Coturnix japonica: one gene and its partners. The protein of the gene in region 1 purifies or fractionates together with the protein of each later gene. This does not show direct contact. Links are inferred from orthologs where the notes say so. Each region holds a gene or a part of one and is shown in the gene's direction. Other genes may lie near its edges. The genes, in order: CUL4B, PHIP, DDB2, HDAC2, COPS8, WDTC1 and EZH2.

Region 1 (3,500 bases):
AAGTACGGTGAAATAGCTGCAGGGGTCAGAGTGCTGCTTAGAAGTGAGGCTGGCAGGGCTATGCGGGCAGCTAGCAAATCAGGAACATCCATCTTTCTTGCTCTTTGTTGTCTCCTCCAAAATAAGTGAGAGAAGTAGTAGTCTGCTTACTGCACTCGATGGAACTTTATCAGTCTCTTTAAATTTGGTGTTTTCAATCATTGTTTTCTTCTGAAATCAAAGTAGCCATTAAACAGCAGCAGATCTTGGGAATTAATGTTGAGCCTACCCCTATGGGTGGTACAGCACGATAGAGTTGATTGTCCTTCACAACCTACTCTGAAATGTAATCTGGAATGTGTTCTTATTGTATTGTTGTGTTTGTTTGGGATTCCTTCCATGTTAAGAGTTAAATTTATTGCTGTTTACAAATACTAAGATCTGTGTATTTTGACAATTTCTGTCTTTTCTAATAATCCGAACTCAGATGTCACATACCTGGCTCATATTTCTGTACATTGGTGCTTAGAAGATGCTGGCTCAGCTTTAATTGTCACGCTTACTCTTGCTCTACCTGTTTCTTTCTGTCGAGCTTATGCAAGTTTGATTTTCCTGTTGGCAGTGTTGGCTGGTTTTTATTTTGTTCCAGCTTTGCTGTGTCACAGAGCCCATATTTACTGACTGCACTTGTGCTGCCTACATCAAGAAGTGCTGTGTACCCCAGGAGTGATTACCAGTTTAACTGCTTTGATTATTGCTGTGCTTGTAATGGTGGCTGTTAGCAAGTATTTGAGGGGGCTTCAATGTGATGGAATAGGCGTGCTCTAATAAGACCTCATGTTTTAATCTGCTCAGGGCACAGCTCTCCTTTGTCTCTCAGTACAGTTGCAATGTCTTGTATCTCTAGTGTTTGGCATGAAGATGATGGACTCTGAGTGAGAAGCAGAAGAATCCCATGTCTTTTTTTTTCCTTGTAAAACCACATGTGAGAGCATAAACAGACTTCTTATAATTGCTTTCTCTTTATTTCAGGCTGTTGAAAATCTCTGCTCCTACAAGATTTCAGCAAACTTGTACAAACAATTGAGACAAATCTGTGAAGACCACATTAAAGCACAAATTCACCAGTTCAGAGAATATCCTTTTTAGCTGTTGACAAGCCAAAATGTTTTTACCTGCCAGTTTGTAGTGATGGATTTCTCTAAGTAGTTCATGACACTGAACTATGGTGAGCTGAATTCCTGGTTTTTGCATAGTTGGTTCTAAAGGTGCTTTTGTACGACCTCGTGAAGACCAATTCTGGTTCCTTTGTAACCATCTGCAAACTTGTTGAGAAAGTTTCATTAGTTCTTAAGAAACATTTTGACATTTTATAGAAGTTCAGATTAGACTTCAGAGTAAGACTTGAAAGACCGTTCATTGTATCACATGCTGAAATTGCCTCGTTCAGGTAAATAGGAAAGTTGGAGCAACTAGTTCCTGTCTTGTTTGAAAAGTCCTTCTGGTCTGGGGAGGTACGATGGTAATGGTTCTGGGGATCAAATTATGCTTCATCTGGAGAAGTCTGGAGTTGCATCAGAGTGAGATCCTGTTAAGTGGGTTTTGATTGCTACCTGAATTATGCTGCAAGCTGAATTTTGAGGACAAATTTTATCTCCTGATGTTACCTGTTAATGTGAACAGAAGTTACTGTACCTGTATTGTAGTAGTGGGGTCTTATATAGGAAGGCTGCTCTAAAGGTAATGCCTCCTATTTTATGATGTTGATGGAATGGCAATAGAGGCCGAACCTTCCCACCAGTGTCCCATTATGTTGTGTGGCCATGTGACAGATAACAGCAGAGGGATACTCTGGCAGAATGGCACCTGACATGGGACTGTGTAAGGAGCAAAGGGCTGGAACTTAATTCTTAATTCTTTCACGCAGTAAGAATGCACACATTGACATTCATTGACACTTGGTGATCATGGATGGATATCAGATAGTAGATGTGAGCACAGTGAGGGCTGGTGCGGATAGTTATGAGAGTGGCATGCAGGCTTCTGTTCATGGCTGGTGCAAATGCAGAGCTAGTGGTGGTGGTGACTGTTGAAAAACAGTGTTTTGTGGCTGTGACTTTGCTCTATTGTGCTCTATCGGCTAGTGTTACTGTGCCCCTTCTGGTTGTTTCTGTGGAAATAAATAGGAGGCGTTACTTTTGGAGCAACTTGTGTATGTTGTGCATTACTGGGGTCTCAAGTGTATGGGTTTTCAGTGTTCTCTACATATGTCCTCACCAAGATGTGACACTGGACAAAACATTCAAAGTTAGAGTTGTTGGGGTTTATCATTACTGAAAATAGTATGTCTGTACTATGGCCTGCATTGGGAATTAACGACTTGAAAGAAATTAGGTGGTTCTACTTGGTACTAGATGAGTTGTGTTGTTAAGTGGTTTTTTTTTTGTTTGTTTTTTTAATTAAATTCAATGCTAATGCAATCTGATAATCATAATTTTCTTAATGATTTCTTCATGGATTCATTGGATAGTGTTCTTTTTCTAAAGAAAATAGACAAATGTTGGCAAGATCACTGCAGACAAATGGTAAGTTTTTTTTCTTTGTGAAGAAACGCAGTTTACTAGTCCAGCTGATGCTTTACTTAATTCTGTTCCTTTACCAAGGAGACGTGCTTCTGAGACATTGCCTTATATTTTGATAAGGCTTCTTTGTGAAATACATAGTATCTAGTATATTAGAAATAGAGACTTGAAAATATGGTGGTGTATTTCTTTATGTGGTGTGACATTGGAGCAGGTGCCTATTATGAAAGAAGCTATTTTTCTTTTCCGGGGGAGGATGCACAATGTCACATTGAATGTCCCTCTGGGATTGGCAACGTGCTTGAAACTTCACTTGGGGAATTCTTTGTTGTTGTCATTGAGCATAATTTGTTTTGCTCTTCAGTTTCAAGAGTGAAATAATTGTGACTCTTTTAATTTCTTCTCATCCCAGATTATGATTAGAAGTATTTTTTTGTTCTTGGACCGAACTTACGTACTTCAGAATTCGATGCTGCCATCTATTTGGTAAGGTCAAAAAGAATAACATAATGAGGGGGTTATTTAAATTATCACTTGTCTGGCAAAGTACTTTCCACTGACCTGTAAATTAGATGGTGAATATGTACCTCCTTCTTGCATTTTTAATATCCTTACCGTGAATTGCAGATTCTTTTAGAATAACTAGAAAATAATAGAAAATAATAGAAAGTCTAAGCTAAGTAGATACCAGCATCCAGTTTGCACAATAAAAAGGAAAAGGTATGTTCAGCAACTGAAGTGCTAGGGTTTGGCTTGTCTGGTTATTGCTTCTTACGTGTTTAGTATTCTTTGAATGTTTTGGAAGGCAAAAAGTTACCTAAAATAAGAACAAATTATTCTTCCTCTCTTATTCTGGTAATTGAGCAAATGCCCTTCGATGCCATTACCATACTGTGTTTGGCTCTTGATTAGGAGCTAAACTATGCGAATTACTTTGCC
Region 2 (4,246 bases), on another chromosome or scaffold:
TTTCATCTGCTTTCAGACTCCTTAACCGATACAAATCCCCTCTTCCTCGTGGGGTAGGTTGATGCCGTACATTAGTGAGCTTTCCTATATGTAAACACCAGGGGAAATTAAAATGTTAATGGCAGCACTCGCACAGCCCTTTGTTGTGAGAGCCACCTCCGAGAGACGATACCGTACACGTCGTGCAGCGCTAAGAACGACCCGAGTCACTTCATTTCATCAGCCTTTATTTGACACCGGATGATCCAATTTTGCCCATTTCGATTCAGCTCAAAGCGTTTATTTCAAACGGAGCCCAAAGACAGAACGGGAGCTGGTACACAAGGGGAGACATTTTGAGCCGCACGGAAGGTGCCCAGCTCCGGATACAGCGCGGAGCCGGGCCGGCACAACGCGAAACGGATGGCAGCGCTCCGTGACACCGCGACTTACCGGGCCGGGATGGCGATCGTCGTCCATTTCTATTTATTTACCTTTTATAAATGGAGGGTGACCACGGGTCTCGCTTTACCTGTACCGCTTTTACCCCGGTCCGGCCCACCCGTGCCCGCAGCCCCGAGCGGCCGGCAGTTATTTACCTCACGGCGCGTCCGAGGCCGAGCGGCGATTCAAGGCGCCACGATCGCTCTGACGGCTTTTTTTCTGCGAGGAGAAGAACGATTAAAATAAAAACAATTAAAAAAAAAAAGCAAAATGTTTAAAAAAGCGGAAAAACAATATATATTTTTTTCTTTCTTGTCCTGCAAGCAGCACAAGGAACCGCAGCGCCGTGTCACTTGCACGCCCCGAGGCCTCGCGGGGAGCCGGCGGGGAGCAGCAGGGGGAGGCAGCAGGAGGGTCGCGGTGCCGCCCCCTCCGAAGCGGCGCTGCCCGGGGGCGCTGTGCCCGCTGGGCTCGGCTCTGCGCTGCGCTGCGCTGCGCCATCCGCTCGGCCACTTCCCGGCTCCCGCTGCCCGCTCGGCCCCGCCTCCCATCGCAGCTCGCTCCGTATCCCTCCGCGCTCCGGCCGCCCGCCCGCTCGGCGCAGAGAAGAGAAAGCGGCCTCCCCTCATCCCGCCCGCCGCCTTCCCGCCCGCCCCGCCTCCGCCGCTCCGACATCTTCTCCCCTCGCGAGCCGCCCGGGCCGCCGGTCAACGCTGTTCCCCTCGGTGTCGGCGGGGCGGGAGCCGCGGGCCGCCCGTCCTCCCTCCCCGCCCGGGGACTTGGGGGGAGGGGCGCCGCGCTGCGGGGCTGAGGCGGGGGGCGCGGAGCGGAGCGGAGGAGGAAGGGACTCTTTCTCCGTGCGGAAGGATCGCGCTGGCGGCTGCTGGCGGTGGCGGCGGCGTCGCGGGCGGCCGCGAGTTGTTGTTTCCTCCTCCCGCCGCCGCGCTGCCCGCGGGGCGAATGCCGGAGCACAGGCGCTGCCCGCGGAGCCGGCGGTGACGGGCGCGGCCCCCCCCGCGACATCCCGCTTCGCCCCTCGCCATGTCCGGGGACGGCGGCGGCAGGCACACGGCGGAGCTGCGAGCGGGTGAGTGCCGGGCGGGAGGGGGGGAAGAAAGGGCGGGCGGGCGGCGGGGCCGGGAGCCGCAACCCTCACCCTGCCCTCTCCCCGCAGAGCTCTACTTCCTCATCGCCCGCTTTCTGGAGGACGGGCCCTGCCAGCAAGCGGCTCAGGTACGGACTGCGCGGGCGGATGGCGCCGGGCCTGGCCGGGAAAGGAGGAGGAGGAGGCGGCGGAGCGTGGGGGGGGGGGGGAGCCTCGCGGCGCGCGCCCACCGCCCCCTCTTTCCTCCTTCCTAATTTTATTCTCCGTTTCGCCCCTTCCCTGCCCCCCCCCGTCCCCTTTTGTTGCTGCCGCAGGTCCTGATCCGAGAAGTGGCGGAGAAAGAGGTAAGCGCGGCCCGCCCCGCCCGCGGCGCCCCCCCCCCCCCCCCCCCTTCCCTCTGCCTCCCGCCCCCGGGCCGGCCCCGCTCACTGTCCGCTCCCCCCGCAGCTGCTGCCCAAGCGCACGGACTGGACGGGCAAGGAGCACCCGCGCAGCTACCAGAACCTGGTAAGGCACCGCCGGGCCGCGCTCTGCGTGCGGGGCTTCGCCGCTTCTCCCTTTGCTTTTTCTCCCCTTCCCTGAGCTGCCTACCCGATAAAAATTGAATTTCCCGCAAAAAAAGAAGGAGGGGAGGAAAAGGAGAAAAAAAAAAAAAAAAAACTTGAAAAAAAAAATATTCCGAACTTGTTTCTTTCTTTATTTTTTTTTTCCCCCCCCTCTTTCATTTTCTTTATTGCCGTATTTATGTGTCGGGATCTCGCCGAGCCCCCGTCTCCTCTCGCCGCTCTGGAGGGGCGCAGCTCGCGGCCGCACTGCGCGAGGCGCGGAGGCGCCGTACGGACACGCAGCGCGTCACGGGGGCGCGCCGAGGGGCGGGGCCGAGCGGGGGGCGCGCGGCCGGGGCCGCCGGTCGGTAGCGGCGCCGGGTGTAGCGCCAGCTGTACCGCCAGCAGGCGGCAGCGCCCCGCGCACACAATGCCTCCGAACCGCGGCCATCCGCACGGCCACATCCATTGCCAGGGGCCCATCCGTGCCAGGGGGCCGTGGATCCGAAGTGCAGAGCGGGCCGAGCTGAGCTGCCAGGCTCTGAGTGCAGATGCAGGGTGTTTTGCTCTTGGGTTCCTTATTATTATTGTTTTCTAAATCCTCTTTTTGTTCTTACCTTGTGCTCTCACAGCAGGTTAGCCAAGGTGCTGCTTGCCGTGGTGTATTTCTCACTAGCAGCGGTGGGCCTCAATTCATCCATCCATCCACCTCTGTTTTCTGGTGCTAGTTGGGAAGCTGAACTTTAGGTGTCTTAGCAACTTGTTGCCAGTTCTGTTTTCAGTACTGTGCTGTAATTCAGCCTCTACCTGCTAATGGTGTGTCCCTGGAAGGCTGAGCCATGCCTGTCCCAGTAGTGCTTCCCTCCAGGCTGCATGCGTTGGTTCTGAGCTCAGGCAGCTGTGGCGCAAGTGGTAGAAGTGCCTCTCTGCTACACAGAGGCTCGAATCCCGGGGGCTGGACTCGATGATCTCTAAGGTCCCTTCCAACCCATACAAGACTATGATACTGTGAACTTAGAGCTCACCCCTCAGGAGAAAGAGCAGCCCCCATCCCAGCCATTAAGCCCTGCTCACATGTGTGTTGTTCTAGACGCATGTAGGTGAATGGCACAACATGAATCGTGGGTGCTGACTGCGCTTGGAACACTTTATTTATTGCATTGTGGTTTTCTTTTTCTAAACCATGAAGTAGGTTTGGCCAGTGCATTGTAACACACGTGGGTGTCAAAACACTGAGAGCGATTGGCCTGTGGGAAACATGTTCCTGGATGGTGACACTTTCTCATTTTCTTGATATTAAAGCTAAGAAAGAAACTCTACCAGGAATTTTAAAGTGCTGATACTTGGCCAATTGAACTATTAATGAATATGTTTTAATTCATTCTTTTTAAGACCATGTTATCTATTTCAAACAGTGATCATCCATGACTTGGTAAAACTTGACGTGAACCTTTCTCTTAATGTGTTTTGTGTTTCAAAGACCAGAGGTGCAGCTTTGGTGTCGAATGGGTTTGGGGTTCTTCTGAGTCATCAGTGTGTAAGAAAAACGTGGACAGAGAAAGCAAGGAAGAAAATGGAAAGGTTGAGCTAAGAAGTCTTAATGAAAAATGAGCTCATTCAGACTCTTCTTTCCAAGTATCTTTTGTTTGCTGGAATGTAGGTAAATACCTCATTTAGCCAGTGGAAGTGTGTAAGAGCGTAACATGTGCATCTTACAGTTTGGCCTTGAGCATGAGTACACGTGTTTGAGAATATGGTAGTGATTGGATCCTTTCTCTTTTCCTCCTCCTTTATTCTTAAGACTTTCTTCTAGTATTAAGCGTTGATCAGGAAGTTTTCCTATTCTGCCTCGTCCTGCCTGGGAATTGAGAGAGAGGAGGAAAAGAAGTTGGTTACTTTGTGTTGGATCCTCTCTTCCTTATGTTGGCTTTAGCTTTCCCTGTCAAAGTTGTGTGAACTTTGTAGCACTTGACGTTTCAGGCTCCTGAAAACCGGTGCAGAAGTTCATTTGCAGGGGTGTATCTGCAGGGTGTGGGTTACATTTGATACAAAGAAGTGTTGTTCACTTGTTACATTCGACAGAAACTTGTTCATTTCTAATTACAGTATCAGTCTGGTGTGGGTTGGAAGGGACCTTAGAGATCATCGAGTCCAACCCCCGGGATTCGAGCCC
Region 3 (3,500 bases), on another chromosome or scaffold:
ATTGTCATTCCTACAGGGACTTGAAGAGTCTCTTAACTTTTGTCCCTTTGTAAATTAAACAGGTATATGCTGGGAGGAGATGTATCCTCCGAGAATTCCAGAGTCATCTTTCTCTTTTTAATACTGTGGTGCCAGCCAGCCAAGGAATACAGTACTTGGGGACCGGAGGAGTTACAGTTTTATTGTCTGGAAGGGCTGCTGCCCAGACAGTTGCTGTGTGGGAAGGCATGGTTGTCTTTGCCTCCTGGATGGCTGTAATGTGTTTCACTGTTGCTGTTAAGTACATAGCAGTGATTGCAGATTTAGAGAATGCATTTCCCACCTTCCCCATCACTCAGTGGATTTTTCTCTTGTTCATCCCCTTCCTTGTAGATGGGAGCTGGAGGGGCCATCACAGGAATGAAGTTTAACCCTTTTAACCCTAGTCAGCTGTACACTTCATCACTTGCCGGCAGTACCACCCTGCAGGATTTTAATGGCAATATTTCACGGGTCTTCACCTTCACCGAGAACTGGGAGTAAGAAATGCAGCAATGTTTTGGGCTTCTGTGTCCTGCTGTCAGGAGCACTGTAAAGAAAGAGAGAGAAAGGGAGATGCTTGACTCTTGTATATGGGAGCGGGGCTTTGTCCATATACATGTCTTTTGTCCTCTAAACTTCAGAGATGCTCTCTGTATTCAGGGAGACTCACTTTCTCTTTTTATTTTTCTCTGAAATGGGGTGGTGGGTACGAGAGAGCTTTTCTTCGTTAAGGGGAGGGCTGTAGATGTTTGTTTGCGTACTACTTGTTACACAAGGGAGTGTGGGGTGTGCCTGTGGGTTTCTTCAGCTAAGTTCCATAGCTCTGCCCTGGGACCTTCCAGCCTCCTGACCTGGTAGCAATGCAGCTCAATGCCAGATGTATTTTTTACTGAATAATCTCTTGTTCCCCCAGTACTTCTCCACAAACACCACTGACTTCAAGTGGTGCATGTCATAAGAATCCTCCTGATTCATTCCACCTAACTGTTGTTGCTTATGTAAAATGCCAAAATTAAGAGTTGGTGAAATGAGGAGATGGATCTCTAGAGGCAATTCTATCTGCCTGTGCTTAGAATCACCTGCTCAGTCTATTCTGTGGACTCATGAGGAAGCCTGAGCTCTTCAATTAGTTAATTCTGTTCAGTATTGAAAGGTGAGTGAGGAGAAATTGGGTTAGCCTCCTCTTTACATTTCTCCACCTAACTGTTTTGGTAGCAGCTTTTGTGGTTGGCTTCCAAACTGTCTGTTCCAGTCTTTTCTTAAGGCAGAAGGTGATCCGTGGTGATGCTGAGGTGACTAGATAGGTGAATAAGGTGGGATAGACCTTGATCCTGTCCCAGGGTGGGTCTGGAACTTGTATCCCGATGAAATGCCCATCACACTAATTCCTTCACACCATCCTAATCATCCTAATGCCCGTCACTCTAATTACATCACATCATCTTTCTTCCACTGCTGCGAAGACAGATAAGCACTGGGGCTTTTTTGTTTTCATCAGCCTCTTTATAGATAGTATTTACAGTGCATCTTTATTAAGTAGCTACTCTATGAGCAGCAGAGTGACACTCTGGAACTCAAGTTTGGGGACTCCCAGTCAGCATCCTTGTTTTCTGTCTTTATTTCTGTAGGGTTTCCATGTTTCCTCAGAAGACAAGCTGGGAGAAAACAGCTCTAGTACGAGGTTCTTGTGCCTTGTAGTTAGCAGTAGGTGGTTCACTGCACGTTTGTCCTGCACCCAATGGAGAGGAAGCAGTACTGCTAATGAGGTTTGCAGCCCAAAGCAATGGGGTTGAACCTACAGATACAGAATGTATGTGCTTAGGTTGGAAACAGATCAGAGAGTTCTTGTTAGAGTCCCCTGCCAGAAAGCTGAAAGCTGTGCGTTGTACTGAGAGAATCCTGCAGTGTGTTCCAGAAGATTGGTTGTATTTTTTCCATTCTAACCTTGATACCTTTTGGCTTTGTATGTATTCCAGAAAGGGCCAGGAGATTCTCTTGGAGGCATGAAGTTCAGTCCTTATGAGTCAGCGAAGCTTTATGTGGCATCAGGGGATGGCACCCTAAGCCTGCAGGACCTTGAGGGCAAACTGGTGCAGGTGATCTCCCGTGCCCCGGACTGTGGCCATGAGAACCATAATGTTTGGTGAGAAGGGAGCAGAGTCAGGTTAAATCTCTGCTCTGTAATCCTGTGTTAATGCTGTGGCTCTGGTCATGCAAATGTATGCTTCTTTGCAAGTTTTAGGAGATTCTTGATACGAATTGGTCATGTGAGGGAGCTCTCAGGTAGGCTCCTGGGTCCCTCTCCAAGACTACAGGGTGAGTGACAAGCAAGGCAGCCACAGGGCATTTAGCTTTCAAAGTAGCTGAGTACACTGCATCCACCTTCTGGTGTTGCTTTCTGGCAACACCATCTTCCATCTTGTAGATACTGACAGTGCTTCACTGTATAGTATATGAGGCGAGAAGAACAGAGTAACTTTCTTCTCTTCATTGTGATCAGTGGTTTGTGTTTTTTTGTGTGCAGCAACTCAGGCAGGATAGGAATTCCAAAAAACCATTCCTGCAGAATCTGAATTTCATCTTGGTGGGTTTACCCTACTTTCCCTGTGAGGAGTTCAGGCTTTCCATGCTAATCTCTTCCATCTTCAATTCAAGGATAATTTAGCTGTGCAAGCAAAGCTTTCCCAACAAGTTCCCAAAGGAACACAGCTTTTCTCTTGCTGGGCCTAGCACCCCAGCAGAGGTGTGGTTAAGAAATATGTCTTTATGAGATAAGCCTCTATTCATGATTGTTTCTAGGAGCATAAAGTTCAGATAGCTTAGAAATGCAATTTTCTAATCCTGGGCTCTTGTCTTTTCTTTCCCATCTCTTCCCTGTTTTGTGGAAAACTATTTTAAAAATCCATTTCTATATATTTGCCAGTGTCACTTGGGTCTGTCCATGTGAAGTTTATGAGTGACTTTTCAACCTCTATTATATTCCACTGTCCCAGCGTGCCACACTCCATCTATTGAGCACTTCATAGATGCCTCAGGAATTATTTCATATTCAGTCACCAAAAGCTAGCATTGCTGATAAGCCACCCCCTTTCCTGCTGTTCAGGGCCATAGTATCAGATCAGAGAGAAGATGACAGATGCAATCTGTTGCATTCTCCTTTGTCAGAGACAGGGATAAGGTGTGAACTAGAGCTCTGCTGCCTTCACCTCTCTGTGGGAGGTAGCACTGACCTTGTCTCTTTCCCTCCAGCTGCTGGTACTGCAGTGTTGATGTTTCTGCAAGCTGCCGTGCTGTGGTGACAGGTGATAATTTGGGCAACGTGGTCCTGCTCAGCACTTCTGGTGAAGAGGTTAGTGTGACTCCACGCAGTGGGTTTTTTTGGGGGAGGGAATCTTCATGGCTTGTGTACTTCCCTGCACTACAGGGGCCTGGAAAAGAAAACAGATGCCTTGCAGTTGAGAAGATGAGTCTGCCATTGT
Region 4 (3,500 bases), on another chromosome or scaffold:
AGATAGCTTTGAAACACGTTCTTAAAGTACTTTTTAAGCACAAGGGTAGTGAACTTCTAGATATCACTATTACAGGAGCTTGAATGAAGCTGTGGGTGACATTAGATTGAAAATTAGACATGTTCTTGGGCAGGAGATCTGTAAATGGAAGCTAAAGAGATCTCATTGCACTTTACAACTTCCTGAAGGGAAGCTGTGATGAGGAGGGGCTTGGCCTCTTCTGCCAGCCAACAAACAGGACCCGAGGAAATGGCCACAAGTTGTATCAGATGAGGTTTAGACTGAACATAAGAAGGAACTTTTTTTCTCAGAGAGTGGTCAGGCACTGGAATGGCCTGCCCAGGGAGGTGGTGGAATCACCATCCCTGGCAATGTTCAAGAGACGTCTGGATAGGGAGCTAGGAGATATATATGGTTTAGTAGTTTTCTGTAGGTATGGTAAAGGGAGGACAGTTGGACTAGATGATCTTGCAGGTCCTTTCCAACCTTGTGATTCTATGATTCTATGAAAGAACCAAGAGGTGATTCACCCTTGAAAAATATCGTATGTTGTAATTATAGATGTTGGGTAACAGGTCTTGGAAAATGGATAGGCTTGCTTTCTCCTGTAAAAGTTGTCTTCTGTTGCTACTCATGGAGACAGAATAGTGGTCGAGAGCTTTGGCCTGACTAGTGGTCACTGAAGCCTCAGGTGTTTTGTTCTCAGTCATAGACCTATTTGATCTCTCAGTTATGCCCTTTTATTTTCCATCTTTCAGGACATTGCTAATAAACAGGAATTCTAAGGAAAATCATACACTGAAATTTCTTGTGTTGTTACATAAGTTAATGTGGCTGTTAAGAAAACAATGAAATAACAGCTGTGCTGCTTTGGTTGTAGAGTAATAAATGAAGAGGGGAGTAATGCAGAATTGATCACAAAACTACCTTCAAGCAACAGTGCGTCAATAAAACCTCAAGTCGTTAATATTAGTTACAGTATTTAATGGGACTTTATCTCTTCTAATCGCATAAGGCTTATTTTTTACAAAAAACATTGGCATTTGACTGCTTGGCGGTGGAGCAGCTGAATATGCTGGTGGCAGGCAGTAGAGGGAAATAGCTGTAACTAGGAAGTAATTTTAAAAATGGAAGAAGTTGCTGGAGGCACAGGTATTTCATATTAAAGCATTCATTTTAATATGCATATATTGAGGATATAAGGAGAAGCTGAGGGAGTTGAGGTTCTGCATTCTAGAGAAGAGTAGCCTCAGGGGGAGGCCTTGTGGTGGCCTTCCAGTACCTAAAAGCGGGCTGGAGGGAAATTCTTCATCAGGGAGTATAGCAATAGGACAAGGAGTTATTAGGAAGAAGTTATTTACTGTCTGGGTGATGAGGTGCTGGAAGAGGTTGCCCAGAGAGAGGCTGTGAATGCCCCATCCCTATAAGTGTTCAAGGCAGAGTTGGATGTGGCTTTAGACAGCCTGATTTATTGGAATATGTCCCTTCCAATAGAAGTTGTAACAAGGTGATTTCTTCCAGCCAAAACTATTGTGATTGTCTCTACCATCTAATAAAAGCAATATGGTTTTTCTGTGGTCTGGTTTTGAATACTGGTTTTAAATCTTGTATGTGAAGGAAGTAAACTTCAAACCAGATATGGGTTATATCACTGCAAGAAGCTGTTCTATTTGGTATCTTGTTAAGAGAGAAAGATCTTAGCACACAGGAAACTGTGGCTGCTCTGTAGTTTATAGCACTGAAAAATTTGGTGAAAGTGTCTTCTGATGGTGATAGACTTTATTCTTTACTGAACAGCACAGGATTTAAGGGTCGTTTACTGTAGTTTTTAGTGCTCTTGCCATGAAGCAGCTTTCTTTATTCCTCTCAAATAAAATGATCAGAAACTTGCACTATTCAAAGAACTGTTAAGCCATACTGTGGTTTTATGTTAATGGTAAGTACAGTTGGAAACAAGAACATGCTTATATCTTTTAGTCTTTGCAGAGGTGAAAAAGGAGATTTGATGGAAAATAAGTCTGCAAAAAATGATATTTTAATATTTATGGAATATGGATTATACCTGCTCCTGGCACTGGTTCTTCAAAAATTCTTGAAAGGCATACACTTCAAGTTGTTTCATTACAGAATGTTTTGGCAATCATTGAGAAACTAGACAAAAGTGTACCATGAAAGGGGTAAATTCAAAGGATCTGGACAACAGAAATTGGTATGAACAGGATTAAAAGGTAAAACTACTCCTGACTAGGACAACTCAGTTAAATATTGAATGCGTTGCGTGATAAAAATCTCTTTAAGATGAGCTTATTTTTACCATCATCCAAACTGTACTGATAATTCTGAGATTTATGGTAACTTCAAAATTATAAACTTTATCATAATCTGTGATTTATTTCTATTTTTCTTTGGTAGGTATTGATATCTTATGGACATAACAGAAGATTGTGATTTCACATGTGTAATTTTCTTTCTAGGTATCACCAAAGAGTGTTGTATATTGATATTGATATCCATCACGGAGATGGTGTGGAGGAAGCTTTCTATACCACAGACCGTGTCATGACTGTGTCCTTCCATAAGTATGGTGAATATTTTCCAGGCACGGGGGATCTTAGGGTAAGATTGAGCATGACATTTCATTGTGATAAATTCCTTCTTATGCACTTCCGTGTGGATTGTACTGCTTTCACAATTATACTCCATAATAACATGTATTTTCTGTAAAGTTACCATGTTTGTCTGGATTAATAGTTGTGTTGAGGAACCTTAGGAAGAAATACTGGAAGCAATTATGCTTCCCTCTAGATAAGTTAAGCCAACACTTTGACTTCTGGATATATTGTCTGAGCAGTGTGCTGCACTTGTAATTACAGTCAGTACCTTTCAGTTCTGCAGATATAGAGAAAAGTAGGTCTTTGTACATCACAGGGTTTCAAATCTTAATTCAGATCTTAAAATAAATGTATACAATAGTTTTAGTAGTCACAGTATTTTTCATGCAACTTTACTGTGTTAGATTTGCTTAGTAATACAGTTGTTTTTGTTTTTTTTCTTGTTATTTCTTACGTTAATAAGGTACATTTTGAATTCTAATGCTTCCCACTGCTGTAAAACATCAGCATGCTCCACAGGTGATTTACTAACAGTACATTTAACTTGAAGAAGGGAACAACAGACTGTGAAGCATTATTATCTAAGTTGCTGGTGGATCTCAGTCACAGCTGAGAATGGAAAATAATTTGCCTGGCTCTTAAGATTTTTATTTTTTAAAGTAAGTTAAGCCATTCCTTCTATTAGACTCTGTCTCATCAGGACAGGAAGTTGTTCCACTTTGCAAATTGAAATATCATTTCACATATGAAGATTAATATATTCTTCACTTGATACTCTTGCTTTCAGCTTCTCTGTGACAGCACTCCAAGGATAAATCAATTCCTTGTTAACAGCTTTGTTACATTAGTTTGTACATGCACTTATTATATTGGTAAAGTAATAAAAAC
Region 5 (4,205 bases), on another chromosome or scaffold:
CAATCCTTTCAAGCCAAAGAGATCTCCCATTAATTTAATCTGTCCAGATTTGCCAGGGGCCACATTTTTAGTGCTTAAATCAAAGAGAAGCTCCCCAAAACAGCAGATGACCCTGTGAACCCTGTGAATGACCACTGAACTGACCCATTCAGTCACTGGAGATACAAGATGGCGCCCACAAGGCCATCAGTTGACATGGGAGGGGACAGCCTGTAGGAGCTGGGATTTATAGATGAATCCTGCTGGAGCTGAGATGAAGATGAGATATAGGGATGTATGATGTGCTCTCCAGAGGGCAAGGAGTGTGAGGAGTGGCTGGAATTCCATGGAATATTTCACTTCCAGAGGCTGTTCTTCACTGGGTGGAAGCTCTCATCTCTCCCAGCATGGCTGTGAGATATGGGAGAGGTGGTAAAGAGGAGGGTGAAAAGCAAACAGAGAGAAAGAGGGGTGGGGGGAGGTTGGGGGCAAGAAAGGGAGAGGAAAGGGGTACTTCTAGCTATATTGCTTGCATGGAATCTGTGGTTCTGGTGGTTTGGGAAGCTCAGCTAACAGCACTGGAAAGCAGCAGCTTCTCCCTCGTCCCAAAAGCTTAATGAAAGACTGTAAAAAATAATATATATATATATTATATATATATATAATTATTATTATATATATATATATAAGGGTGCCTGGCTGTCTCAAACCAGAACAAGATTCTGTCATGCTGGGGACAGCGGGACACGTGGAGGCGACCAGGAGATGAACTAGAGCAAACTGGAGCAGAACAACAAACCCACCCTCCTACCTCCCCGTGTTTTATGCCTTTCCCTTGCAGCTGGTGCCCTCTTGTGGATAGCTCTCACCACTCCATTTTTGCCCGAATATATCTATATATCAATAGATATACACCTAGGATACGCTTAGAGGATGTGCATACACAGAGATACCCCATTTTTGCTATCCCATTTTTGCCGTTTTTAAATGGATGTATGCACCCTATCTCTTGCATATATGTATATACACATATATGTATATATGTTATATATTATACACACATATATATATCACATGTATATACATATATATTATATATTCTACATATATATGTATATTATATGTATATGCATATACATATATATATGTATGTATCTCCTAGAAATATATGTGCGTAGATATGGAGATATATGTATGACTATAACATCCTACACAGAGATATACGGGCTGTACCACAGTATCCAATCCACGTGTAATCCCTTTTATACATCATCCCATAAGCAACGCATAATAGTGGAACCCAGCCCATTTGCAACCAGACCCACGTTAATAAGAGATAGAAGCCAACCCCCCAGCCCTCCCCTTCCCTCCCCGAAGTCCTCCAGAGCATTAGAGAGCTACAGAGAGCGGAGGTGCGTCATGGCTGAGACGGAAATGACGGCAGGCGCGGCCGCCGCCTGAGGGGGGCAGTTGTGTCGGCGGGACGATGCCGGTGGCGGTGATGGCGGAGGGCGGGTTCGGCTTCAGGAAGCTGCTGGAGCAGTGCGAGACTCAGGAGCTGGAGGTGCTGGGGGCCGCTGTGGGGTTGTGGAGGGGCTGGGGTTGGAGCTGGCCGCTTGTGCCGGCCCAAAGGGCCTCGGGGCTGCGGGAGAGTGAGAGCGCTGCGGTGTGGGTTCCTCACAGCGCTGTGGTAATGGCCGTCACACCGAGCTGCTTTATAATGCTTAACAAAGGGATTTGTGCTTGTCCTTTAGGCCCCTGGAGGAATCGCTACACCCCTTGTTTATGGCCAGCTCCTAGCTCTGTACCTGCTGCATAACGACATGTAAGTGGCTCTTGTTAATCTTTAACCTCAGGTCCTGGAGCTGTTACTATTAGCCTGATGCAGATTGATCTGCAGTTATTAGGTTACTAACTAGTCGTGTGACTAACAAGGTGCGTGTAAGTAAATGCTGCCAAGAGTTCCCCTGTGTTGGCTCTTCCATGTTAAAGAACTGTAGTCCTTTAACAATCCATCAGGCTACGTTTAAAAGTAAGATTTGGATTCTTTCCACTTAAAATTTTATTGAAATAGTGTTTATTCATCCAGGCAGAGTCAGTGGCGCTGTGGGATATGAAGACACTCGGCTCGTTGGTCTAGGGGTATGATTCTCGCTTAGGGTGCGAGAGGTCCCGGGTTCAAATCCCGGACGAGCCCTTCTTTTCCAGGTTGGAACTAGATGAACCTGAAAGGTCCCTTTGCAATCTAAGCCATCTTATGATTCTCCAAGGGCAAATTCCATCCCGTGTTGAGGTTGTGTAGTAGGTTCATTCAAGTTAATTTTGATATGATACTGTAGAATTGTGCCATTAACAGAACTTGTACCATTAACAAATTAACTATCAGTGCTTCATTTTTAGCTCTTGCTCTATAAGTTTCTATTTTTGTTTTATAATACATCAGTGCATTAGTATGTGTGTGAATTTATTAATACATGAAGGTTGGTGGGGGGTGTGCTCAAGAAAGGCACTGACAAGTCTTTTAAACTTTCTTTAGGAACAACGCACGGTACCTTTGGAAAAGAATCCCTCCTGCTATCAAATCTGTAAGTACTCCATGAAATTCCACTTGATACTAAACCATGTAAGCTTGAAAACAATGACTTATTTCCTCTCTTGAGGTTTCTATTTAAGTAGCTTTGGGCTTGGTTCTGTGCTGTGAACACATTACCAGCATGCTGGCCTTCCAAAGATCTTCAAGTTGCAAATCTATCTATTCCTTCTTTTCCTTCTCAATTAATCTCATGACGTAGTTCTCTAAATCTAGAGGTTTTATTATAAAGCCTCAAGTTAAAGAGTAGTCAGCTGGAGGAAAGCAGTGACTCTGCTCTAAGTATCTGATTCTGGGCTGCAGTTGCCCTCCATGTGAGGATGCAGAATACTTTATGCAGTGAGTTATAACTTGATGTTAGTTGTACCCTCAGATTTCACTTTCTGAAGGTGCTTTGTTTTGCACCGCCTTTGGATCCAAGACGCATTTTGAGGCTTTAGCTACTTAAATCAAAGATATTAGTCTATTACCCAGGCTGGTGTTTGGTTACTCTGGTGGAATGGTGTTCATTCTCAACCTGTTGAGCAATATGCAACACAGTAGCCCTTAAAACCAGTAGTGGGAAAACAGTGAGCATGATACCATTTTAAGCGTGATCCATGTTCAAGACTTTCAAGCTAAATTGCTTTCACTATGCAAACAGCACCTGCACTCTGTAAAGGCTATGTTGAAGAAGGAGGCATCTCTTTGAGGAGGGAATAAGCTGTGCTTGTCCTTTGGCAGCTCCAGTCAGCAGACTGAGTACAAACTATCCTCTTTGGCTTTAGCTGCTTTGCCAGCCTGAATTGATACAACTGCTGTGAGCAGACTTTGCTCATGTGAGTGATAATCTTTGGCAGAAGGATGGGTCAGGAGTGATAACAGCAATGGTAGTTATTAAAACAAGAATTCCCAGTGCTCCTCTCTTCATCATTATGTATATCTCCTTGCAGCAGGGAAAGGAAGGCAGTAGGAATGAGTTTGTATGGAATGGTCTTTGTAGAGGACAGACAACTCTAAATTAACTGTTTTTGTCATGACAGGCAAATGCTGAGCTTGGTGCAGTTTGGTCAGTAGGACAAAGAATCTGGCAAAGAGACTTCCCAGGAATCTATACGACGATCAGTGCACATCAGTGGTCTGAGACTGTTCAACCAATCATGGAAGCACTGAGAGGTACAAACTGAATTCCTGCAGGTAGCATGTAACCTGAAGTTATCTGTGGATCACAGAATCACAGAATGACCCGGGTTGGAAGGGACCTCAAGGATCATGTAGTTCCAACCCCCCTGCCTGGCAGGGCCACCAAACATACACCTTTACTAGATCAGGTTGCCCAGGGCCCCGTCCAACCTGGTCTTGAACACCTCCAAGGACGGGGCATCCACAACCTCCCTGGGCAGCCTGTTCCAGGGCCTAACCACTCTCCTACTAAAGAACTTCCCCCTAACATCCAACCTAAATCTTCCCTCTTTTAACTTAAAACCATTTCCCCTAGTCCTGCTATTGTCAGCCCTTTCCAAGAGTTTACATTCTTCTTGGAATTTCAAATACCATTTGTTTTATTCTGTGGTAGCACAATGGACTAGTAGATACACAACTTGCTCAAACTCATTTAACCAAGAATGCTGGCGGTTTGGTTTGGCGTTTCATAAGC
Region 6 (3,500 bases), on another chromosome or scaffold:
TACTCACTCTTTTCTGTCACCCAGAGTCTTTTTCATCCAAGCAAGTACGTGGGGTGGTGTGAGGCAGGTCTGATTGTGAGGGCTTCTGCTTATGTATGAACAGAAAGTGTCAGCAGGGCTCAGGCTTCCAGCTTGAATGCCGTGATTGTAACACTGGTCTTCTTTCTGGCTAGAAAAAGCATGAAGCAGTGTCCTTCAGCTGGAGTGCACACGTTCTGCGACCGGCAGAAGCCTCTCCCGGATGGCGCAGCACAGTACTACGTGGCAGGTACTGGGGGAGACTGATGGGGCTTTAGATTAACGCCTGACTTCTACTCATCACACAAGGAACCAATGCTTGAAAGAGCGCTTCTCTAATCGAGGGATGTTGTACAGAATTGCAGATTATTTTGCTTCTGTGCTGTGAATTCTTGCTTATGCTACCAGCCTGCTTTCCCCAACTTGGCAGCGATGTGTGTTGGTGAGCTGGCCTTCCTCTTTGTCTAGCATAAATGTCTTCAGTGTCTTTTTGTCAGTTTTATTGCAAAGTCGAGGACTGGATAACCTGAGGAGTCTAGACATCCTTCTGGAACTGGTTCCAGCGAGGGTGCTGTTTAAAGCCTTCCTGGCACAGAAGTGGTTTGTCTTCATTCTGCAGCTGAGGAGTCAGGAATGCGTTGTCTGGGCAGTGTGAAGGCATTCTTCTCCAGTGCTCATTGTATATGATTTTTCCCCAAAATGTCTGTAGGTTGTTGGTTTTTTTTATTAATATCTTAGACCAACACGTCCAACAGACCAGTGCTGACAGCTTTGCTTCTGATGAGTCCCACTAGAGGATTTCGTAGGTCCCCTGAATTGGTCATGCAACACATCTGCTGTCTGAAGCAAAAGAACCCTTGTGTGAGCTGAATATTTAGGAGCCTTGGTCTGATTGTGCTAAGGGCTTTATTAAGGAAACCTGATTGGACAGTCGGAAATGGAGCTGTTTGTTCGTGGCTGGCCACAAATCGCAGAAGCTAAATCCTTAATGAATCCATAAAACCAGGATGTGCTGGGTTCTGCAGACTTCAGTTAGCAAGCTAGCTGAAATCTGGTCTTCCCTATTTCATGGAAATAGCCTTGCAGAAATAGCACATGCAGCACATGAAAAGGCAGCTTCGTACATCTGAGTGTTTGGGTTGCCAGTTCAGCAGGCAGTGATAGGAAATGGAAGATCACTTGCTGTGTGTGCTTTATGCTCTTGCTCTCCTAACAACTTCTTGTAAAAGCACAGGGCTGGTGTAGGACTAAGGCAACAGTTCTGAGTTATTCTAATCCTGTGGACCTCTTCCCTTTGCAGGACACCTTCCAGTGAAGCTTCCAGACTACAACAACCGGCTGAGGGTTCTTGTAGCTACGTATGTCACCTTCAGTCCTGATGGCACCGAGCTCTTAGTCAACATGGGAGGGGAGCAGGTAAGAAGTAGGGAAGAGTTTGGCAGGAAGCTTCAAGTGCAGTTGTGTTTGCTGGCTCACCATTGACCCAAGCTCTGGGGCTGCTGCTTACCCGCCCATACATGTTTAATTTGTTTGTGATCACTGTGTTAATGAAATAGTTAAAATATCTTCTTGTTTGAACTTTGTGAATGGGTTGGTTTGAACCTTGTGAAGAAGACAAAGCTCCTGTTTCTCAGTGGTGTCCTTTATAAATGCAGTGCTGGAATGCAGCAAGACACTGGCACTGCCATTATTTTATGGGCACACGCCTATAAACAGGATGGAAGATAGGCAATGTTACTAACACCAATGTGAAACCATTTAGCTTTGTTTTATTTCTGTCCCTTGAGCATCCGTGTATCACTGACTTTGTTGTCAACTGCTTTCTTCTTTTCTTAGGTCTATTTGTTTGATCTCACATACAAACAGCGGCCATACACTTTCCTCCTCCCAAAGAAATGCCATACTTCAGGGGGTAAGTGTGATGCTGTCATGAATTAAGTGGAAGGCAGAGTGCAACCGTGTACTGTGCAGCCCTCATTTGGGCAGGCAGGAAGGAAAGGAAGTAGGGCATGGCTGTTGGTGGGCTGTATCTGCATTGCAGCTCATACTCTGAGCTCTAAAACTCTTACACATGGTGACAAAACTCTGTGGAAACGTGTGTCTGGAGGGGAGAAAGCTGCTGAGAATTGTTGGTGTGTGTGCACTGAGAACTCTTAAAGCTGTACCTAAAGAGTAAGGCAGACTTTGTAGAGTGATTGAAGTCTTAGTGCCTTGCCTTTAACTAAGGGGGAAAAACTTTTTATGCAGACACATAAAAAATGGTGCAGTGTTTTTATTTGATTTTATATAAAATGTAGAATGCAGCTGTTATCCCTTTAAGCACCCATTAGGAAGGAGACAGAACAATCTCTTTCCTGGTCTAAGAATGTGGCCTGGCATTAATCTCCCTCCTGCTGGTAAGCTAGTTGGTTCAAAAAGCCATTTACTTGACAAATAAGTAAATCCAAGAGCCTTTTTATTCCCTGCCCTGTTTCTTACAGGGCCTGTTGGTACACAGACCCTGCAGGCACTACGCAGTGAACATCTAGTGCTCTGTCCCTGGGGCAGAGGCCGACTCTCTCTTATCAGGGAGTGTTCCCTGCCCAGCTCTGCTCTCAGGGTTCAGTCTGTGTACTCAGCTCGCCTTGGGCCTTAATCTACCACTCACATCCTGGTAGCAAATAGATGTCCTGCTTGCTGTTCTTCTGTCCTGAATGCCTGCGGGTGATCTGTGCTGTGGTATCTGGCGAGGTCATACTTTACATGGCAGGAAAAAGTTTGAACAGGTTTGTAGTGGTATGGTTTCAACAAATGCTCCACCCTTTTGGGTACAGAAAGTTCAGGCAAGGACTATGAGAAGGCAGCACGTGTACTTCATGTGCATGCACGTCTCTGCATACTGAGAGCTCTGAGCTGTTCTGCTGAGCAGTTGGATGGTGTCCTCAGTTTCCCAGCCTCTGAAGTGGTAGAGATTTGGTGGTAGATATAAGAGGACAAATCAAATCCAAGCAGCTGGAAGACAGGGATGTGTGGAATTGTGAAGCCTGTTTGGTTGTGCTCTGAATGGTGCTGTGGCATTGGTTCAGCTGTGCTGTAAAATTAAACCCCAGAGTTTCAGGGATTAATCTGTATAATCCATGTTGATGAGTGGCATGTTTGTATCTTTTCTTTCCTAACCTTTAGAAGTGCAGAATGGGAAAACCTCTACCAATGGAGTGTCGAATGGCATCCATCTCCACAGCAATGGCTTCCGCCTGTCAGAGGGAAGAGCACACGTGAGGTAAGGCAATAGATCTACCTAAATGAAAGCGTGAGGCTTTGGTCGCATCCTTTTCCTTTTTGCAGGGTTAGGTGCTCCTAAACAAGGTGTGAAGTGCAAACCCACTTGCTTTGTTAGCGTGATTGTCAGGCGGTCTCTGTCTTAGGGGCTGTATTTGCTCCTGGTGTTTGGGCAAAGAACAGGAATCAAATCAGGCTGTAGCATCGTAGGAGAAGCATGGTCT
Region 7 (4,274 bases), on another chromosome or scaffold:
GAAAAATGTTTGGGTGGTTTACTCCATGAAAACAGAAAGTCTATAAGCAGCTCATTACAACATTAAGCATCCACGTGCAGAAAAAAAGAAACAAGCTGCCAGAATTCTCCAGGTTATTTTAAATAGCCCATATGATCAGAAAATTGACACTTCGTGGAGATCCTCACTGAGGATTCATCACTTCTAGAACTGAAATGCAGCATGGAAAGATTGTTTTCACAGAGTGCAAAACAGAAAGAGTAGTTCCATTCAAAATGTGTTTTATTTTCTAGTAAGCATTAGCTTCACGTACAGCAGGTGAATAACTTTCTGTGCAAGACAAAAACTGAAGCGTGTACTGCAATTGAGTTCAGTGTTGTCTCCACACATCTTTTTTTCACCTTGTGACTGACTATAGTGCTTGCTTAAAGTTACGCTATGCTTATTTAGCACAGGAGTTGTATATATATATATATATATATATATAGACTAAGATAAGATCTCATGAAGTGCAATTCTAACAATAAAAAAACTACAAGTTCCAAGCTGTGAAGAGACTGGGTAGCCATTTTGGTGGTGCCAGCCATCTTGGAGCAGAATAGATTTAAATAGCTGAATTTCAAGAAATGACTGACATTTTGCAAAGTTGATAGTTTTAACGTAATCTTGGAAAAGGTCATCTACTCTAGTAGAATCAAAGAAAGAGTATGACAATATATCGTTTCGTGACATGCAAACATAAGAGGAAATAATTTCTGTTCCACATTAAAAGAACTCTGATCCTTGTTTGGCCTATAATGCAGCTGAAAGATTTGGGCATGAAGCTGTGTCAATGATCTTCTCTCATAGGATTTTTATCATTCAGAACCTCATTATGGTGGACAGTGCTAATTTTTGGGCTTCACACAAAGATGAGACAAGGTAGTTGAATGTATCAGAAGTGATTTGCAAGGGAAGGTGAGAAACACTGGTAACAGACAGTAAGGGTACAAGGCTCACAATCCATTCTACCTCAGAAGTAGTGCTGAACACAGGAGGCTTAGGAAGGAGAGATGGTGACAAGCATACATGGAAGTTTCCCACCATGATCTTATCTTGGCAATTTTGTTTTTCCAGTCAACAAAGAAGGGCTGCAGTGGCCAAACAGTGAGACAAAAGAAGGCTAAGGGGGAATGAATCCTTGAGGTTTAAAGTACCTCCTTGTCAACGTGACTGAGTCGTAGAATAAAAACGAGGGAAAATGGTAGCAACCTTAGGCTAGAGACAGTGTATCACTAGCAACAGGATCCCAGCCTTATGCAGAATGGACACCTTGCTGTTGCTGTGATTTACCATCACTGCCAAGATGGGACACAATGGGATTTTGACAGTTAAGAATCCATGCTGGTTACAGAACAGCAAGGCACCAAAATTCGTGAGCAACAGCGTGAAACAAAAGGACAGATACGTGCTAGGTTTGGGTGCGCAAAGGTCAGATGACACGGCAGGAGGATGCATCACGTACTCTGGTTAGTGACTCAGCCAGCCAACGCTCGGCACGGCGCAATGCCGGGAAGGAGAGAGCCCGCCGCGGAAGCGACGGGCAGGGAGCGGGCCGTGCTGAGGTAAGCAGCTCCTGCCAACAACACCCCCAGTCCCCGCCTGGATCTTCCCGCCTGGTCGCAGACGCGCCTCTCCCAGTTCTCCGTCCTGTCCCGTCCCGTCCCGTCCCGTCCCCTCCCCTCTCTGCAGCGCGCGGAAGCAGCAGCACGACTGTTAAAACCGTTACAGCTCCCACTTTCGAACTGATTCAAACTCAGCAGCACTGAGACGCGAGGCCCCTCCCCGCTCCCGTCGGACCCCTCGCCTCCCTCCCCTCCCCAGTCCCCGTGAGGCGGCGGCCGGAGCACCTCAAACTCCAGACCCGCTGCCCGCTCAGCTACACGGACGGGCAAAGAGGGCACAAAACCGCCAGCCCGGGCGGCAGCGCGAGAACAAAGAGCTCCCCCACCCCTCCTTCCCGCCAGCACGTGGGGCACGGACCCCGCCCCTCTCCCCGCCCCTCTCCGCCCCTGATTGGCTCGGGGCGCTCCGTCCGCGTCCGTCCAATCGGGGCGGCGCTCGGCTCTCGCCAATGAACGTGTTACCGATTGGGCCACTGTATTTGGCGCTCGGTCCGGGAGGGTGAATCCGGCAGCCGGAGGCAGGAGGGAAGAAGAGTCGGGGAGCGAAGCGGCTGTGGTGGCGGTGGCACGAGATTGGAGCGAGGGGACGGGTGAGCTGGACGGCAGCGGCAGCAGCACCACAACCACCGTACGGGCTGCGGGCCGGGAGCAGTTATTTATAACCGACTCCCTTTGTTATGGGGGGTGGGGAGGCAGACAGGGAGGGCGCGACCGCCTCGGTCCCGAGCAGCGCGCCGCGTCGCGCTTGAAGGAACGGGATGGGGTGGGGGGCGGCAGCGAGATTCGCGCCCGCTCTGCAGCCGTTGACAGCGGAGGGAGCGGCGCGGAGCCGACGGTGCCTTTTGTCTGAGTTGGCTCTGTCCATCCTGGCCGCGCCGCGCTCGGCGGAGCGGAGCCTTGGGCGGGGGGGGCGACTGGCGCCGTGCGGGAGAAAGAGCGGGTAGGAGCCGGCTGTTTCCTCTCCTCCCCGTTCCTGCCGGCCTCCTGTGGTGGCGGCTGCCTCTGGCACGGTTTCGCTGAGGGGTCGGCGGGGGGATCCGTGTGTTAAACGTACGCAAGGTGAGGTCTCGGTGAGTCCGAAACGCGAAGACAAGTCCGTTCTGTCCGCCTCAGCCCCCTCCGAGAGAGAAGCACGGTGCAGAAGTTGTTACGCGGCGGTAGCCCCCGCCCTGGGGTGCGAGTAGGTCCGCGGCAGCCCCATGTGCCCGCGGTGTCCCGGAAGCGGAGCGTTCCCACTCTCGCCCTCGCACGTTGCCGTCCCGCCGGCCAGTCTGCGACGGGGCTCTCCAGCCCCCGGCGAGTTTCACGGGCACCGAGTGCGGGAGAGCGGGGACGGCGCGGGAGTCAATCTGTCCGGCCAACTTCCTCGTCGGGAAGGGCGCTGCTCGGCTAACCGGCCCTCCAGAGTTCGGAGGGAGCTGGAACTGCTGAGTTGGAGACCTAATGTCGCAAAGCGCGGGTGTGTGGGGCGATCTCTGAAATCGGCATGTTTGGGGAGGTGTGAAAGGGACGGAGTTGTGCTGGAGCAACAGGCGTGTGTGTGATCAGACAAAGGTGATGAAATCAATGTATTGTAGCGCAACGCATGTGTATCTGGTGTTAAGTACGAACATCCAAAAATTATTAGGAATGGGCAGAAAGAAAAGCAGTCTCAGCATAATGTAGCAAAAATGGTATAATGAACCTGTACCTGGCTCAAGATACTTTTTCAAAGTTATGAAACAGTATATTTCATTGGAACTAGGGCCTTGGTTTTTTTCTCTGTTTGGTTTTTTGGTTTTGTTTTTGTTTGGTCTGTTTATTTGTTGCAGGATAGGTTTGTCTTTGTGCAAGTCGAGCAATTGCAGATCCAACCGTTCAGTACTTCAGCGAGACTTTACTGGTATTTTTAGTACACGATAAACTTCTAAACGGAGATTTCCTCATATACAAGTCCTTTCTCTCTTTTTCTCTTTTTCCTCTTTCCCCCTACCCCACCCCCCTTTTTTTCCATTATTTTTTAATTTATTATTATTATTTTTAGGGCTTGGCACATTCCGGTTCTTTGTGACTTGTAAAAATTAAAAGGTCATTCTTTGTTTGTCCCCAGTGTCTGTATCAAATTGAGAGTTCAGGGAATGTTTAATTGTGATAACAATAACGCATCTTCAGAAGGGTGAGTATTACTTGTCCACAGTGTATGGTAGCTATCCTTGCTTTATATTAGATCATAATAATATAGATAAGGCTTACAGTGTCTTTCAGAAAACACGGTTCTAGTACTTTAGGAGGTATTATTCAAAAGTTTTATGCAATAAAATACTTTTTTAGACATTCTAAAATATTACTCTGAAAGTGACATACACTGAAAATACTTATTGGCAGAAGAACATTAAAAGTCTTTGCTCAGTTTAAAATCAGATAAAGCAATAGTCTATAAGCTTAGGCTGGAGACTAGAAATTCAAAATTTTTTGCTTTCCACATGGTATTTTCTTCTACCTAGAATTTTCAATGAGTTGAAATATCGTGGGTGACTTTGTTGGAAATATGCCTTCTAATGGGTTTATATTTGTTCTATGATATGGCATTTGTAGGTGAGATGTAAATGTACTTCAGCTTATCTACAAGGAAACTTTGGCTTAGCAAGTAGG

What was found.
Region 2: the proteins of CUL4B (region 1) and PHIP purify together in Homo sapiens (affinity purification with western blotting; 8 studies listed by BioGRID and IntAct, with this or other methods). This does not show direct contact. The link is inferred for Coturnix japonica from reciprocal best matches to the Homo sapiens genes CUL4B and PHIP.
Region 3: the proteins of CUL4B (region 1) and DDB2 purify together in Homo sapiens (affinity purification with mass spectrometry; 11 studies listed by BioGRID and IntAct, counting the BioPlex papers as one, with this or other methods). This does not show direct contact. The link is inferred for Coturnix japonica from reciprocal best matches to the Homo sapiens genes CUL4B and DDB2.
Region 4: the proteins of CUL4B (region 1) and HDAC2 purify together in Homo sapiens (affinity purification with western blotting; 3 studies listed by BioGRID, with this or other methods). This does not show direct contact. The link is inferred for Coturnix japonica from reciprocal best matches to the Homo sapiens genes CUL4B and HDAC2.
Region 5: the proteins of CUL4B (region 1) and COPS8 purify together in Homo sapiens (affinity purification with mass spectrometry; 7 studies listed by BioGRID and IntAct, counting the BioPlex papers as one, with this or other methods). This does not show direct contact. The link is inferred for Coturnix japonica from reciprocal best matches to the Homo sapiens genes CUL4B and COPS8.
Region 6: the proteins of CUL4B (region 1) and WDTC1 purify together in Homo sapiens (affinity purification with mass spectrometry; 4 studies listed by BioGRID and IntAct, counting the BioPlex papers as one, with this or other methods). This does not show direct contact. The link is inferred for Coturnix japonica from reciprocal best matches to the Homo sapiens genes CUL4B and WDTC1.
Region 7: the proteins of CUL4B (region 1) and EZH2 purify together in Homo sapiens (affinity purification with mass spectrometry; 4 studies listed by BioGRID and IntAct, with this or other methods). This does not show direct contact. The link is inferred for Coturnix japonica from reciprocal best matches to the Homo sapiens genes CUL4B and EZH2.

What each region holds. Positions count from the first base shown.
Region 1 is NC_029519.1:15,299,821-15,303,320, forward strand, and holds part of CUL4B (cullin-4B), read left to right. Parts: intron 1-1,011; coding exon 1,012-1,115; intron 1,116-2,494; coding exon 2,495-2,564; intron 2,565-2,973; coding exon 2,974-3,047; intron 3,048-3,500.
Region 2 is NC_029518.1:72,502,559-72,506,804, forward strand, and holds the start of PHIP (PH-interacting protein), read left to right. Parts: upstream 1-1,446; 5' UTR 1,447-1,464; coding exon 1,465-1,510; intron 1,511-1,597; coding exon 1,598-1,656; intron 1,657-1,842; coding exon 1,843-1,872; intron 1,873-1,975; coding exon 1,976-2,035; intron 2,036-4,246. Other genes in the region: translation initiation factor IF-2-like, read right to left, coding at 676-1,446.
Region 3 is NC_029520.1:20,669,466-20,672,965, reverse strand, and holds part of DDB2 (DNA damage-binding protein 2), read left to right. Parts: intron 1-1,997; coding exon 1,998-2,164; intron 2,165-3,270; coding exon 3,271-3,370; intron 3,371-3,500.
Region 4 is NC_029518.1:58,978,486-58,981,985, forward strand, and holds part of HDAC2 (histone deacetylase 2), read left to right. Parts: intron 1-2,474; coding exon 2,475-2,616; intron 2,617-3,500. UniProt on the Homo sapiens protein: Histone deacetylase that catalyzes the deacetylation of lysine residues on the N-terminal part of the core histones (H2A, H2B, H3 and H4).
Region 5 is NC_029522.1:4,153,717-4,157,921, forward strand, and holds the start of COPS8 (COP9 signalosome complex subunit 8), read left to right. Parts: upstream 1-1,405; 5' UTR 1,406-1,465; coding exon 1,466-1,543; intron 1,544-1,733; coding exon 1,734-1,804; intron 1,805-2,104; exon of another isoform or gene 2,105-2,176; intron 2,177-2,515; coding exon 2,516-2,564; intron 2,565-3,591; coding exon 3,592-3,724; intron 3,725-4,205. UniProt on the Homo sapiens protein: Component of the COP9 signalosome complex (CSN), a complex involved in various cellular and developmental processes.
Region 6 is NC_029538.1:1,715,706-1,719,205, forward strand, and holds part of WDTC1 (WD and tetratricopeptide repeats protein 1), read left to right. Parts: intron 1-173; coding exon 174-268; intron 269-1,318; coding exon 1,319-1,434; intron 1,435-1,854; coding exon 1,855-1,930; intron 1,931-3,180; coding exon 3,181-3,277; intron 3,278-3,500. UniProt on the Homo sapiens protein: May function as a substrate receptor for CUL4-DDB1 E3 ubiquitin-protein ligase complex.
Region 7 is NC_029517.1:75,450,826-75,455,099, reverse strand, and holds the start of EZH2 (histone-lysine N-methyltransferase EZH2), read left to right. Parts: upstream 1-1,474; 5' UTR 1,475-1,524; coding exon 1,525-1,583; intron 1,584-2,059; exon of another isoform or gene 2,060-2,271; intron 2,272-4,274. UniProt on the Homo sapiens protein: Polycomb group (PcG) protein. Catalytic subunit of the PRC2/EED-EZH2 complex, which methylates 'Lys-9' (H3K9me) and 'Lys-27' (H3K27me) of histone H3, leading to transcriptional repression of the affected target gene.